Linked DNA regions of Sus scrofa. The protein of the gene in region 3 interacts with the protein of the main gene of each other region in a pairwise test. Links are inferred from orthologs where the notes say so. Each region holds a gene or a part of one and is shown on either strand. Other genes may lie near its edges.

Evidence for each region. The genes of interacting proteins can lie anywhere in the genome.
Region 1: the proteins of SMAD1 (region 3) and PIAS4 interact in a two-hybrid assay, tested with the Homo sapiens proteins (2 studies listed by BioGRID and IntAct). The link is inferred for Sus scrofa from reciprocal best matches to the Homo sapiens genes SMAD1 and PIAS4.
Region 2: the proteins of SMAD1 (region 3) and PSMB4 interact in binary tests that used the Homo sapiens proteins (3 or more experiments, as listed by UniProt). The link is inferred for Sus scrofa from reciprocal best matches to the Homo sapiens genes SMAD1 and PSMB4.

The regions. Positions count from the first base shown.
Region 1 is NC_010444.4:74,726,556-74,731,370, reverse strand, and holds the start of PIAS4 (E3 SUMO-protein ligase PIAS4), read left to right. Parts: upstream 1-1,578; 5' UTR 1,579-1,660; coding exon 1,661-1,687; intron 1,688-4,815.
Region 2 is NC_010446.5:97,834,673-97,839,755, forward strand, and holds PSMB4 (proteasome subunit beta type-4), read right to left. Parts: upstream 3,238-5,083; 5' UTR 3,196-3,237; coding exon 3,056-3,195; intron 2,814-3,055; coding exon 2,607-2,813; intron 2,343-2,606; coding exon 2,196-2,342; intron 2,059-2,195; coding exon 1,977-2,058; intron 1,593-1,976; coding exon 1,476-1,592; intron 1,287-1,475; coding exon 1,198-1,286; intron 993-1,197; coding exon 980-992; 3' UTR 872-979; downstream 1-871. UniProt on the Homo sapiens protein: Non-catalytic component of the 20S core proteasome complex involved in the proteolytic degradation of most intracellular proteins. This complex plays numerous essential roles within the cell by associating with different regulatory particles.
Region 3 is NC_010450.4:82,984,838-82,989,888, forward strand, and holds the start of SMAD1 (mothers against decapentaplegic homolog 1), read right to left. Parts: upstream 3,073-5,051; 5' UTR 2,889-3,072; intron 2,217-2,888; exon of another isoform or gene 2,201-2,216; intron 2,133-2,200; exon of another isoform or gene 1,342-2,132; intron 1-1,341. UniProt on the Homo sapiens protein: Transcriptional modulator that plays a role in various cellular processes, including embryonic development, cell differentiation, and tissue homeostasis.

The sequences.
Region 1 (4,815 bases), on a different chromosome or scaffold from region 3:
CAGTCTGATGCAGTTTATAACCGTGTGGAGAAGGTCAGACCTGGATTAAGATTCTGGTGCTCGAAGTTCCTGCTGTGGCACAGCGAATTAAGGATTCGATCCCTGGCCCAGGAACTTTGATGTGCCCCAAAATAAAACATTGTAAAAAAAGTAAAACAAAACCCTGCAGAGTCAGAGTTTTGGGTGAGGTAAATGAGTTATGGTGAGGTGAGGGAGGTATTGACTGCAACTGCAGAGTTAGATTCTCTCTTAAATTAGTATTTTCTTCATCATGGAGTTTTTTTGCATTAATTTTTCTTTTTCTTTCTTTCTTTTTTTTTTTTTTTGTCTTTTTGCTATTTCTTTGGGCCGCTCCTGCGGCATATGGAGGTTCTCAGGCTAGGGGTCCAATCGGAGCTGTAGCTGCCAGCCTACGCCGGAGCCACAGCAACGCAGGATCCAAGCCGTGTCTGCAACCTACACCACAGCTCACGGCAACGCCGGATCGTTAACCCACTGAGCAAGGGCAGGGATCGAACCCGCAACCTCATGGTTCCTAGTCGGATTCGTTAACCACTGCGCCACGACGGGAACTCCTGCATTAATTTTTCTTAAAAAATATTGCACAGGAGTTCCCTAGTGGCCTAGTGGTTAAGGATCTGGCAATGTCACTGCTATGGCTTGGGTCGCTTCTTCGGTGCGGATTCAACTCCTGGCCTGGAAAACTTGCCATGCCCTGAGGAACAGCCAAAAAAAAAAAAAATATGTATATATATCTCTCACATATATCACACAAACATTTATCTTGATAACAGGGTCATTTGGGGCACTCAAATTTCGGCTAATTCTTGCCCTGATATTTATAATGTCAAGGGATGGGCCCTGAAATACACAGTTTTGTCCTCTTTCTTCCTGCTTTTGATACAAGAAACTTTGAGCTCTGTGGCCCGCGAGCACTGAGGAGCCACAGAGAGCTCTTGAGCAGGGGAGTTTCCGGTTAGTGCAGATTCCAAAGGTTTACTGTGGATGGGGAGCCAGAACTAGCGAGAGGAGTACGCTTACGGGTGTGAGGGATGCACGAGCTCCGGGAAGTGGGCAGGAGGTCCCGCATTTCTCCGCCGGGAGCCAACTAAGTGGGGGGCGCCGCGCCCGAGCCCCCTCTGCCGAGCCAGGACCCGGATGTATAGCACGCCTGAGGCTGCACAGCGCTGCTCTGCAAGGCGCCTCGCTGCACGCATTGGCAGCTGCTGAGCCGGCCAACTGTCTTCTCCCCGCCCCCACGCCACCGGGCGTCCGGTCAAGCACCTGGCAGCCGCCTCGCACCGGGGACCCGCAACACCTTGCTGCATTGTTGTCGCCTCTGCTATCTATTCCCTCCCAAGACAGGACCCAGCACCCACCCCTACCTGTGCGGCACTCGTGCGCCTTTAAGAAGCTAGACGCAGCCAGGGGTGGGCGTGGTCGCCGCGAGCTAAAGAGGGGGGCGGTGTCGGGCCACCCTGATTGGCCCGAGGCCCGGGCGGTGGCCGCGCGCGCCTGCGCAGTGCGCGGTCGCGCGCGCCGCGGGGAGGAGGGCGCGCGGGTGCTAATTGGTCGCGGCATAGGCCCCGCCCGCGAGTGGAGGGCAGTCACGTGACGCGACGGCTGGGGGCTCCCGGCGCGGGGGACGCTGGTGGCCAAGATGGCGGCGGAGCTGGTGGAGGCCAAAGTGAGTGAGCGGCCGCGGCGCCGGCCCGGGAGGGTGGGGGGTGCGTGGACCGGGCGGCAGGCCGAGGTCTGCGCCTTCCGCTCGGGGTCCTGAGACACAGCCCGCTCGCACCTCGGCGTCCGGCCTCCTCGCCCGCCCCTGGTCCCCGGACTCCGGGTGCGGGCGGGGCGCGCGGAGGCCGGGGGCGGGGCCCCCGAAAACCTCACCCCACTCTTCGCCCTGGGGGGTCGGCCCCTGGGCTTGAGCTTGGGGTCCCCTTCTCCAGCTCGAGCGGTTAGGTTACCTACAAATCTCCCTAAACACGGGCACAGGGCCGCGCCTCCCAGCTTGAGGCACAGTCCCCACGGACAGCTTCACGGGCTGAGCTGCTTGTCTTCTCGTCCCAAACAGGGGTCCGCGCTCTTTGGCCTTTGGGATTGTCTGCGCGTCTTCTCTCCCGCCATGGCTGCCGTCAGGGTCTTAGCCTCCTCGCCCCAGCCGACTAGCCGACTAGACTGGGGTTGGCTACTCCTTGCTCAGAAGGGTCCCCTGACTCTTCTGCCACCGCTTGCACCGTCCGGAGTGATGAGCTGGGGTCCTCAATGTCCCTCAAAAATAGTGTGTCTCTTGGGGTCTGTACGCTAAACTGGTGTTTGGGGCCCTGTTCAGCTCCTGCTCTGGTTCCAGAACCCCGCCTCCCTCCCGACACCTTCCTCACCCTGGAGTGGGCTTGGTGTTAACTGAGTGTGCCCCCCTGGGATGGAGCTCTGGCCCCTGTGTCCAAGACCTTCCCATCTCTCTCCTCTCAGTCTTCGGTTCTGAGCTCTGCCTTCCTTCTCCCTCTTCCCCTTTAGGACAGCATCTATGCCCTTTTGGACTACTTCTGGGGGTTCTAGTCCTCACCCTTGCGGGATCAGACTCTTATTTCCCAACCTTGGCTGTTTCCTCTGTATTCTACTTCATTGTGGATCTACTGCTCAGATCACACTCCCTTTCCACCTAGCCCCAGAACCCCTGCTTTTGCATCCCAGCTTTGGCATCTGAGGCCCCTCTCTCTTTCTTCTGGTCTCTCGTGTTGGTCCTTGGAAGGTCTCTGATTGACTGCAGGGTAGGATTTTTTCTGTAGGGTAGTTCCTAGTGCTTCTCTGCTGTATTCCTGTTTGGGGTCCAGGTTCCACATCCCATAGATACCATCCCTTCTCTTAGCTTAGGGTCCTTTTTAACCCTCTTGGGACTAAGCTGGAAGCATCAGTTTTCCAGAGATGTATTTTCTTCAAGGTAGCCTCTCTGAGGTGAGGCTCCAGAACTCTTGCCCCTGACTGCACGAGACTTCTTCTGTAAGAAGTTTACTCAAGGCCACAGGTCTCAGGGATGTAGAGGGCAGGACCTTTGCAGAACTGAGGCACCCCCACCCCTCTGGTCTGTCCTCCCCAGGGTCTTGACCTGTAAATGTTTTCTTTCCCTTTCCTTACATCTCCCTTCCCTTCCCACTGGGGTCTGAAATGAAGCCCTCAAGGTTCTGTGATTATAGGGTATTACCCTCCCTTCACCCCTGAGCTCCCTCCCCCTGTACCTAGAACACATGCTTCTGCTCCTCTGGAATTTTGAGAAATTGAGTACCTGCCCTAGAGATGTGCAAGCCCAAGGCAGCAGCCTGCAACCTGAAGTCCCCTGGAGCCCTGAAATTTAACCTCCTCTGCTGTGGGGTTTTGGCTCTGGGCTCCCGCCGATCCTCCAGCCAGAGAGTGGGGTCTGAACTCTTATACCATTCAGGGCCTTGAAATATGATCTGATGAACTCTGCTTGACCCTCCAGTGGCTGCCCCCCCAACCCCAATTAAATCAAGTTGACCCTTTTTCTTGTCTTTTGTCTTTTTTTTTAAAGCTGCACCCACAGCGTATGGAGGTTCTCAGGCTAGGGGTCTAATTGGAGCTATTGCTGCCGGCCTACGCCAGAGCCACAGCAACGTCAGATCCGAGCCGCATCTGCAACCTACACCATGGCTCACGGCAACACCGGATCCTTAACCCACTGAGCAAGGCCAGGGATCAAACCCACAACCTCATGGTTCCTAGTCGGATTTGTTTCCGCTGCGCCACGACGGGAACGCCTTATAATTTTTTTTGTCTCTTGTCTTTTTTTTAGAGGACCCTTTTTCAAGTTTTCTAAAATGTGAGCCTCCATTCAGGGGGGCTCACGACTGCAGCATAGCTTGCTCTGATTCTAGGGAGACTTCTTTTTCCTCCAGTGCTTTGCTGTCACCAAGAAGTGCTTACTATACGTCTCATTGAAATATCTCCCTCTTTTAGGAGCTTTCTCACCCTTTTGTAGTGAGAACCAGAGATTTTGTCTTTTGGAGTGCAAAATGGGCTGGTTCGAGGGGAGGGTGAAGGGGGCTTGTTGATAAACTTGGAAATCTGAGACTCTTAACCTGAGACGGGGTGGTCTAGAAAGTCCCTGAGAGGAGGGTGCGTAGTAGTTTGCACGGAGCTCTGATTTCCTGGAGAGAGGAGCCCCTAAGTTGAGCACAGCTACTCTATCAAGGCTGTTGTTTCTCTAGGCAGCTCCAAAGGAGCCTAGAGTTGAGGCTCTGGAAGCTGCTGGGGCCTGGCGCTGTTTATAAACACAGATCCGAGGGGCAGGGTCAGTATGAAGCCACAGCAGGAAGTGTTCTGCAAAGCGCTTGGGGCTTCTTCCTGAATGTTTGCACCCTGCTCGTGCGCCCCCCCCCCCACCAGTGTCAAGGGCAGGCTCCTGGGTGGTGGCAGCTGCTGAGAAATACGAGTTGTGAACATATGGCAGTTTGAGGGGTGTGCCCCAGGATGCAGGAGCAGGAGGCGGCTCCGGATGTCCAACCTGGTGGACGGGGTAGGTGGGGGCAGGGGCTCCCAGGGGCGGGGTGACTCCAAAAGGCCAAGCCCACCTGCCTTTGACTCCATGGCCAGTGGTCAGCTTCCACATGACATCGCCTCTCCCCTTGAGTGCTTTGGGCCTCTTCCAGAAGAAACATCTTGTCTGCAATCTTTTCTTCTCTCCTCAAGGTGGGAAGTCAGGCCGAGGGTGGTAAAGCCTCTTTGTTTTCAGAGTGTTCAGACTCTCCAGCAGGCTGCTTAGGGCCCTGTGAGGGGGTGTGCTGGGGATGAGGGGCC
Region 2 (5,083 bases), on a different chromosome or scaffold from region 3:
GCAGCACTCCTAGATGTTACATTTCTATCTTTGAAATGATTTTTTAACTAAAATCACATTTGCGGCCAACATTAACTAGAAAGTCTTCATTTTGGAACCTAGTGCAGGGTGAAAATATTGACCACAAAAGCTAATTGTGAGTTCTATAGAGAGCAGCCTTCAGTAAAGACCCAATGACGACAGCAGTAGGTGTCCTGTGTTATCACACAGAGAACTCTATGCTTTAAGAACCATGAATCAGGAGTTTCCGCTGTGGCTCAGTGGTTAACAAATCCGACTAGGAACCATGAGGTTGCGGGTTTGGTCCCTGCCCTTGCTCAGTGGGTTAAGGATCCAGCGTTGCCCTGAGCTGTGGTGTAGGTCACAGATGCGGCTTGGATCCCACATTGCTGTGGCTACAGCTCCAATTGGACCCCTAACCTGGGAACCTTCATATACCACAGGTGCAGGCCTACAAAAGGCAAAAAGACCAAACAAAACAAAACAAAACAAAACAAAAACCCCATGAATCAGGAACTCCCATTGTGGCTTTAACAACTAGTATCCTCAAGGACGTGGGTTCCATCTCTGGCCTCGCTCAGTGGGTTAAGTATCTGATGTTGCTGTGAGGTGAGCTGTGGTATAGTTCGCAGACATAGCTCCTGAGTTGCTATAGCTGTGGTGTAGGCCCACAGCTATCGCTCTGATTTGACCCCTAGCCTGGAAACTTCCATATGCCCCAAGTGCAGCCCTAAAAAGCCAAAAAAAAAAAAAAAAAAAAAAAAGCAAGAACCAAAGGGTCCTCTGACTAGCAGAGGAATAGATGGCTTACAGCAGTACTTAGCAGTTTCACTCTTGGTGTAACCTAGTCAAACAATACAACCACTCACCAAATGTTTTAAAGGATTTATTTATTTTACAAAAGAACTGTATCTCTGAACCAGCCACGTTCAAAGTTAGAAGTACCACTTCAGTTCTGGAAAATGCATCTATCTATATTTCATTCAAAGCCACTGAAAAGAAAAAAACCATGTAAGATTGTGAAGCCATAGAGTAAGACATCAATTCCTAAAAGCAGCTCTATCCTCAACCCAAACCCTCTCCACCCAGAGAATTTTTTGGTTGAGACCACCAGAAAAACTAAGCTTAGTTCAACCAAGGGGTCTCCCAACTTTTCTACCAACTACTTTTTTTTTTTTTAACTGTAATTTCAATCACCTGATCATGTGGGCAATATCCCAGTTGGTCTCTGCAGACAGGGGTCCTTCTATTTCAACACCTTTTTCGGTTACAGTGGCAATTTGAAACTGAAAGAAAAGCAGAGCTCTCATGAAAGAAGTCCCTGGTCAAAGGTCAAGTTGAGGGTCTTTCCCTAAAATGAAAAAGCGAAGACACAGAAATGGGACACCCTCTTCTTTGAAGCATAGAGACTCAGGGACGGGAAGTATCCAAGAACCTGCCAATTAGATCCCCACCACCTTATGCACACTTCTCACCCTGTTATAAGAACGGGCATCTCGATAGTACAGCACTCGCATGCAGCGTTCCACTAGCTCTCGGGCCTCGGCCTGGCTCAGCACTGGCTGCTTCTCCAGAACTTCTCGCAACAGAGGCTAGAGAGATCAGAGGGAGAAAAAAAAAAAAAAGAAAACATGGGAGATATGAGGGGCTGAATGCCAGGCAATTTGACGCAAATCCTTAATGTAAAAGGAATCATAAATGAGTGAAAAGGTGACATTCATTATTGCCTCACCAGCATGAACTGTTTGTGCTAAGACCCACTTGAAAGGGAAATTCTAGAGTGTCCTCTCTTTGCACATGTATATTGACTCCTGGACCTATCACCTTGACATGGTCTCTGGACCACAAAGAAAACCATCTGCCCAGCAGTAGGGATCCTAGCCTGTTCCTCATGTCAGAATTGCAAGGGTAGACAACCACTAATCCCTATTGCCTTCTGTCTTCTTCTATCCCTCATCCCTCAACCAACTACTTACCTGAGCCAGGTATGCACCATAACCAGTGGCCAGCGAAGGGGCTTCATAGGCTACACCAAGCATGTCCACGTAACCCAGGAAGCTAACAGGACACAATAGGTCAAAGAACTCATTTCACCTTAGGTTTCTATATGTTAGCTGAAGGATGGGACCAAGGGGTCTGAGTCAGAAGTGGGATTCACTCAGGGAGAAGAGATAGTTATTTGTATTCAAATCAACCTCTCTCCATCAGCATAGCCTCCGATGACCATGGTGTTCCACAGGGGGTTCATCTTGGAGCGGCGGCTGTACATGGCCCTGGTCAGCCACGAATGGATAGCTTTAGGACTATAGCTGTGTCCATCTCCCAGCAGCTCCTCATCAATCCTTAAAAAGAATTGGTTGTGAGAAAAGGGAGAGAACAGAAATCGGGTTTTCCATCCACCCCCAAAAGATGTGACCACAATCTTCCCCTCTTAAACCCACTAAAATAAACTATTTGCAAACATCCTCGAATCTTTCACCCCCCAACAAGTCTCCCCATCCTCTACTGCAGCTTCAAGTTCCTCCACACTAGAACATCTTGATGGGATAAAAACAGTGGATTCCCCTCCCCACCTGGGAACTACTCCTATTCTCTAGATGACTTACACCATTTGGCCGAGAACTTGCTTCAAATATTGGAAATCAGCGTAGTCTCCTGAAGCACCCAGCATGGTGCTGTTGTTGACTCGCATAATGCGAGAGATGTTGCGGAAACGAGCCAAGGAACCATAGGAGCCCAGCATGTCTGCTGCAATCACCACTCCGCCCTCAAACTTGACTCCCAGAACCGAGGTCCCGGTCACCATGGGGTTCCTGGAGATAAAGAAGGGTCTGGCGAGAGGTGGAGGAGAATAGCCTAGGCCCGCTTCCCGCTCTGTGGGTTCCGCTTCTGACTTTCCATGGCTCCTTTCATTCTCCAGGCCCTACTCCTCGAGCTGTCCCGCTGTTAGCGCGCCCGGGGGTCCCCGCCTCGCCTGCCCTGGCTCCCCGAACCAGCCGGCCGCACCAGGCCCCACGGTCTCTCCCCCGCCCAGGCTAAGACGCCAAGAGCTTACTGGGTGCGCGTAATCGGACTCCCATAGAGCACGGATGCCGGGTCCACGATGGATCCAGGAGTGGGAGGAATGCGGTAGAACTGTCCAGGAGCCGGACCCCCGGCCCAGTGTCCCGACCGCGACTCCAAAATCGATTCCATCTTAGTCACCGTAGCTCAAGAAATGAAAGCGTTTGCGCCGACGGAAGCGGAAGTGATCCTTCAGTGCCACACCTTCTTTCTTCCTGAAAGCCACTTCCCGCAGCCATGTTGTTAGGGTCGGGACAGACCGTATGAGCATCCTGGGTGGCGACCGAAACCCAGAGATTTGGAATTGCCAGGCGTCGCATACGTAGCGGTAGAGTCTAGACTAGAACAATGTTCTGATGCTCAAATTCAAGGAGGGAGAGGGTGGTGTGGCAGATGGGGAGGGGGCGGGCTCGTCAAGACTCTGACCTGAGCGAGGAGGCAGGAAGTCTCCTTTCCTTTTTGGATCCTTATCAAAAAGCCCACACTTTAGGAGTTTCCGTCGTGGCTCAGTGGTTAGCGAACCCTACTAGCATCCATGAGGGTTCGATTCCTGGCCCCGCTAAGTGGGTTAAGGATCCGACCTTGCCGTGAGCTGCGGTGTGGGTCGCAGAGGAGGCTTGGATCCCGCGTTGCTGTGGGTCTGGGGTAGGACGGCTGCTACAGCTCCGATTGGACCCCTAGCCTAGGAACCTCCATATGCCCCAGCTGCGGCCCTAAAAAGACAAAAAAAAATAAAAAGAAAAGAAAAGCCTCACACGAAACTAACAGTGAACCCAGGATCTCTTAAGTTCTGTATTTCTCAAAGCAGCCTCATGTGGCATATTCGACCCATTTTATAGGTAAGAAACAGAGACTTGAATAGTGATTTACCTGATCACACAGCAAATAATGGTAGATCTGAGTCTAGGAATCTTACAGTTGTGCGTACCTTGCGGTGTATAATATCTCAGGTGGGTCACTCACTGTGCAGAACCTTCGACAAATCTCTGAAAGTTACCTAGTTGTGAAATGCTCTTACCTACCTCTTAAACAGCAGAAAAATTCCATTGCCTGTGGGAATGTAACTAAATTCCAGGCGTTCCCTTCTCAATGTGGTTCTGTAGCAGGGGCTGGAAGCAGTGTCTAGAATCAAACAGGTGAACCTAAACCTGATAGTTTGCCACTCCTCCCTACACAATTAGATTTTAAATTATTGACTCAGCGGGAAACCAAATCAGTTTTGTTTTTTAAATTCCCTGAGTTAATCTGAACCAAAGCAACGCATGAAATTTTAGCCTAATTGAAATAAAATATTTTATTAGGTCATGAAACCCTGGAAGGGAAGGGTCAAGGTCTTGTGTGAGAGACAACCAGCTGTTGCTCTTTGTATCATCTTTTGGCTGAAAACTAGGTAGTTGATTTCTTCTTCTAATAGCTCATTAATAATCATATTTGTTTATTCGTCTTCTTTATTATTATTTATTTACTACCAATTCTAATTAATAGCCACCTCCTCCCAAACTCCATATTCCAGGTGAATCTTACTTACTCAGAGACTTACTTGGACAATTAGCAGCTATCTGTTGTTATGACAGAAAGCTTAATGGGATTCCTCCAAAACCACTAGAATACCTTGCTTTCATAGCTACCTGAGCACTCATCATATGAACTTTAAAACAATTAGCCAGCAATTAACTGTCTATATTCTTGTTAAGATGTGGCCTGAGGTGGCTTGCTGGTTTCTGGGCTCCCTCCTTTTCAGTCCCTGGATTAATTAACGCTGTGGTAGGGCTAGTGCCAGGTCCAGAGATTAGGCAGGTAGTCAAATTCCACAGAGTCTAAAAGAAGCAAGTCTAGAATTTTCCAGCCTGAGAGTAGGATGACAGGGAAAGCAAACTACTAAGAATTGATGATGTAATACTCAGAAGAAGGTGACCAGCATGTCTTTTGTTCTAAGATGAAAACAACAGGATATAAATTAAACTGAAACAAGGGAGATTTCGGAAATTTCTTTCTTCTCTTTCACTTTTTTTCTTTTTAA
Region 3 (5,051 bases):
TTAAAGAAATAACATAGCAGTGGGTGCATCAATACAGTGCAAGTCAGTGTTAATAAAAGGATGAGGGATACAAAGTATGTGGTCCTCTGATATTTTAGAAAGTCCCTAAGGCCAAGTTAAATTCAAGCTCACATGAAGCATGGTTCAGTGCACAGATCTGAGCTGCAACGGTCCTTATCAGCACCCCAAAGCATCTGTTTCTCCACGACCTAATGGAAAGCTATTTAGACAATGCAGACTGAACAGCCCTTCACGTACCTTCAGTTTTTTTCAGAAATTCAGAGTTCTGTAAGCCTTTCCCCTTTTTTAGAAACCCTAGCGTTCCTTGTCAGTTCAGCCTTTCCACCATAAACAAAATACATGTACCACCCATATCTGAAGGATAACGCCAGACTCCTGCTTAGCTGCCCCTGTAATACGGTTTAATTATGATGACTGAACTAATAGGCTGACATCATAGACTTTTACAGGCTGACCCCATGTCATCCTGATGTATCATTTTGCACCAGTTCAGTGCTGTAAATCAATTTAAGATCTCAAGCAGGTTGAAAAGGCTGGTAATGATGCTTTCTCTGCCGTCTCTGGAGACGCTACATTATACACAACTTACATTATTTATAAAGCCTCAATGATGCCTCCATTAGCCTTGTAAGACTACACAAATGAGATCTTTTATACACACACAACTTGGCCTTGATTATGTAGGCGACTGCAGCTTAAATATACTCATCTAATTACACTCAAGTTTATTCTTTTTCCAATCTAACCAAGTTACTAAACCCAGAATTACTAGAAATCAAAATTACAAACTGCAATTTAGTTTTCAACTAATAAATGTATTGGGGAAAACGAGGCTTACCTGCTCTTAACGCTTTAATGAACTTGGAAAAAATAAATAAATGCCAAGAGGTGTAAGAGCGTAACATTTTTAACCGCCTAAAAACTATCATTTCTCTAAAATGCAAAGGTCATCAGCTCTTCGAAGGTACAAAACCAAAGGATACTGCAAGAAGGAAAAATGTATTTAGTTACATACCTATGGTTGGAAGGGTCAAAACTAAATCAAGGACAAATCCCTACCCTCAGAAGACACCCGATCCTGCCCGGATCCTCCAGAGACTCTGGCATCACCCACCTCTAGAAAATCATCTCCCACGACCCTGGTTACAGTTTCCTAAGAATGGCAATACTACACAAATGTACACCACCTGCACAGAAATATCAAGTAACTGCAAATGCAAAGAGGGAGGGAGGACAGAGGACAAATACTTAAATCAGCACAGCAGATTTAGGCCTGGCACCTCCATCAGAATAACACTGATGCAAAATATTTATACTAACTGAAAATCCTGGGGCGGTGAACATTGATTCTGCCTCAATTCTTCTGAAATCCTGGTTCCAAGACCGCTCACCTACCGCCAATAAAGTGCAAAGGAGTAATTAGAAACAAGACGAAAAATCAACATGGGCAGAAGACAGTTTTCTCACTGTGTTCCTGAATGTGGGCACGTCATCCACGACAGCCAAGGAGAGCGAGATATGCTCTGAAATAAAGGCATTCTGCGATCGAGCTAATCGCGAAGAGTTTCAGCAACGCAAAGGCATACAGAGCTCAGGCAACTTCTGGGATCATTCCATAGACTTTGAAACTTCAGCTGCAATGGCAAAAGAACCTCAGCGGAAAGAAAAAGGCCGGCTGTCAGAGCTCTCACGACAATGGTGCTTTCTCAGGAGACAGTTCTGAGACGCTCCTCGATCTGCAGAAGGGAAAGCGCCTTACTGGGGATCTTGCACGGTGCATTTAAACATCGTCCACGCCTCAAAATAAACAAAAGCCGCAGCTACTGGAGTTGTAAGATCCGGCAGGCATCTGTTCCTCCTCCCTTCCCAAAGTACATCAAGGAAACGCTCTCCCTGGGAAGCCTTCATATGTATTAAGCAACTAGAAAAACAAGCCCACGTCTGTCTCTCTCACACCCACCACCCCCACCTTCCTGCAGAAACAACCCCGAGAAACACTAACAAAGACCATGCGCAGAGTAAATGAACACTTGTTCCACGGCGAACTCACAAATACACATGCAGTGAGGCAATCAAATCCGGGAAAGGGAAAGGAATGAGACGACACTTGGAGACTCGGGGCGCGGGGGGGGGGGGGGGGTAGGCGGAAGAGAAAAAAAAAAATTACGTGCAGCCAAACCTTTGACTAAATTAGAGAGAATTTAGGTGAGAACTTTCCTTGACCTCGACCCTCAAGAGGCTGGCCGGGGCAGAAGAGGGAGCCCGGCCCGAAGCCGGAGGGACGCAGGGCACCGGGTGCCCCCTCGCGCGAGCCCCACTTCGCGGAAAGGACAGCGCCCGCGGCCGCCCTCCGACTCCCGCAGGGGTCGCCCGGCCGGCGCGGGACACAATGGGCCCGGCGGGCCGCGCCGACGGCTCAGGCCCGGCTGCAGGAAGGGAAAGGGAAACGGGCGGAGGGGGGAGGGTGGCCGCCGAGGGCCGGCCGCGGGCAGGGATCGGGGCGAGGCTGGGGGCCAAGGGACGCGGCGTCCCCGCCGGGGACCCAACAAAGACGCAGGGGGCACTCCGGCCCAAGCCCAGCCTGGCTGGCGGAGCGCGAGGGGAGAGAAGGTGGCAGGTTGGTTCCCTAGAGCTGCCGGGAGGCGCCATCATGGGGGGGGGGGGTGCCGGTCCGCCCCACGCGGGGAAGAGCCCCCTCTCCGCCTCAACCGCACCACTGGCCCGGTGCACGACCGCGGCCACCCGGCTGGCCCGCGCCCGCCCCAACCCGAGGCGGTGGCGGCGGCGCTGGAAAGTCCGCGGGGCGCCGAAGGGAGGGCGGGGACGCGGCGGAGGAGAAAGTTGGGTTCGGGTCTGTTTCGTTTTACCGGGTTGGCTGCGCGCCCGTCCGCGCGGGCGCACGAGGTGGCCGGGCGAGCGGGGTCCCCCGCGGCCCCGGTCCGGCCGGCCGGGCGCTGCGCTCGCAGGGTCCCTCCCCGCGCCTCGGCTCGGGCTCAGCGGCTCGGCCTCTCCTTCCTCCTCCCGCCCGCCCGCTCGCTCGCTTGCTCCGGGAGCTTGGATTGATCTGGTCGCGCTGGCGTCAGGGAGTCGGAGCCGCCCAGCCTCCACTCCTCCGCTGCCAATACCGGGCGCACTCGCCCTCCCGCTCCCTCGCTCGCTCACACGCGCACCCGCGCGCGCCGCCGCCGCCGCCGCGCGACCAGGGATCCTCTCCAAATTCCCGGCCCCGCCAGCGCGAGCGCCGGGCCCGCGCCGCCTCCCCCGCCCACCGCCCCGCTGATTCCTAGGAATCGAAACGGCTGTCCCTGCCTCCTCTGGTCCCCGTGAAGCCAACTCAGCCTTACCTGCAAGGGAAGTTCCGCGTTCTATGTTTATTTTCCGAAACATTTGGCCACCCCGCCCACCGAATCGCATTTTAAACATAGAGTGCATTTTTGATCATCACCTTTCGAGCCTCGCCTTTTAGGTCTAGTTTTCCTTGCCCCTCACTCCTCAAAGATTTGCAAGCCCCAGAAGTTGCACGTACTGAAAACTGGATAACCTAGTAACTATTTCTTGTACTTAGCCCAAACCTTGAATCAATACATGTGTTTGATGCCAGTTTCAGGATCTAGAGATTCCAGTAGTTAACGTCTTTGCTCCAAATGACAGATGCCGCAACAGAACTCTCAATTTTTTGATCCAGGTTCTGCCACCTTTTGGTTGACACCAACTTCCCAAAATAAAACTAAACTAGCTCCCATCCACCTGATCTGCACAGACATTAAAAATGTCTGTTTATGAGAGTTTTTTCTTCTCTTAGCCGGCTCTCTAGAAGCTGGCCTGAAATCTTGGATGATTAGGGTAAGGTTATGTTTAGAGAATAATGATTCTGAGGAGTAAATTTACGTGTTCCAAAAGAACTATTACCATCATTTTTTTTAAGTCAAATTAATGGTATTCTCCAATTGTCATGTACTTTACATGTGCACATTCCATTTTAAATTCTTACTTATTAACCATCTTATTGCTACATCCCATGTTTAATCATTCAAAAGAAATGCAACAGGTCCCCCCAAATACATAAAATACTGTTTATATATAGTCAGACTATGTCTGCTAATTTCTTCGTTCAATTATTTGAGCACTTACAGGTCAATTCTTGGGCCTTGTCTTGTTTCCCCTAAGAACAGCATTTGACAGTTAATTCATTCTCTACCCCTGGCAGCAACAGTTGCAATGAGCCTTGTGAAATGCCACTCCAAACAGGTCACTACTGTGCTCAAACCCTCCTTTGATAAATAGAATGTGCTGTATGCACACAATGGAACACATTCAGTCATAAAAAGGAATGAAGTTCTGACATTCTACGTGGATGAAACTTGCAAACCCTATGCTAAGTGAAAGAAGCTAGACAAAAACCCCACAGACTGTAAGCTTCCATTTATATAAAATATAAATGGAGTTCCCGTAGTTGCTCAGTGATTAATGAAACCGACTATTAACCATGAGGTTTCAGGTTTGATCCCTGGCCTCCATCAGTGGGTTAAGGATCCGGAGTTGCGGTGAGATGTGGTGTAGGTTACAGACGAAGCTCGGGTCCCACATTGCTGTGGCTGTGGCGTAGGCCAGCAGCTGTAGCTCGGATTGGACCCCTAGCCTGGAAACCTCCATATGCCTCGAGTGCAGTGTTAAAAAGACAAAAAAATAAAATATCCAGAATAGGCAAATCTATAGAGACAGAATGGTGGTTGTCTATGTTTGGGAGAATAAGGAGCGGGAACGTGACCGCTAAAGGTTATGGATTTTGGGGGGGGGGTGTGTGACAAAAATGTTCTAAAATTAGTTTGTGGTGATGGTTGCACAACTCTGTGGATATTCTAAAGCCCGATGAATTGTGGGCAAATTATGTGGCTTGTGAAGTTTCTTTCGATAAAGCCGTTTTTGAAAAAAAAAAAAGTAAGAAAGAAAGAAATGGCAACTGATGCTTGATTGGATCCTGAGTTGGGGAGAAACCTATAAAAAGACATAGAACTGGTATTTTGGTAATT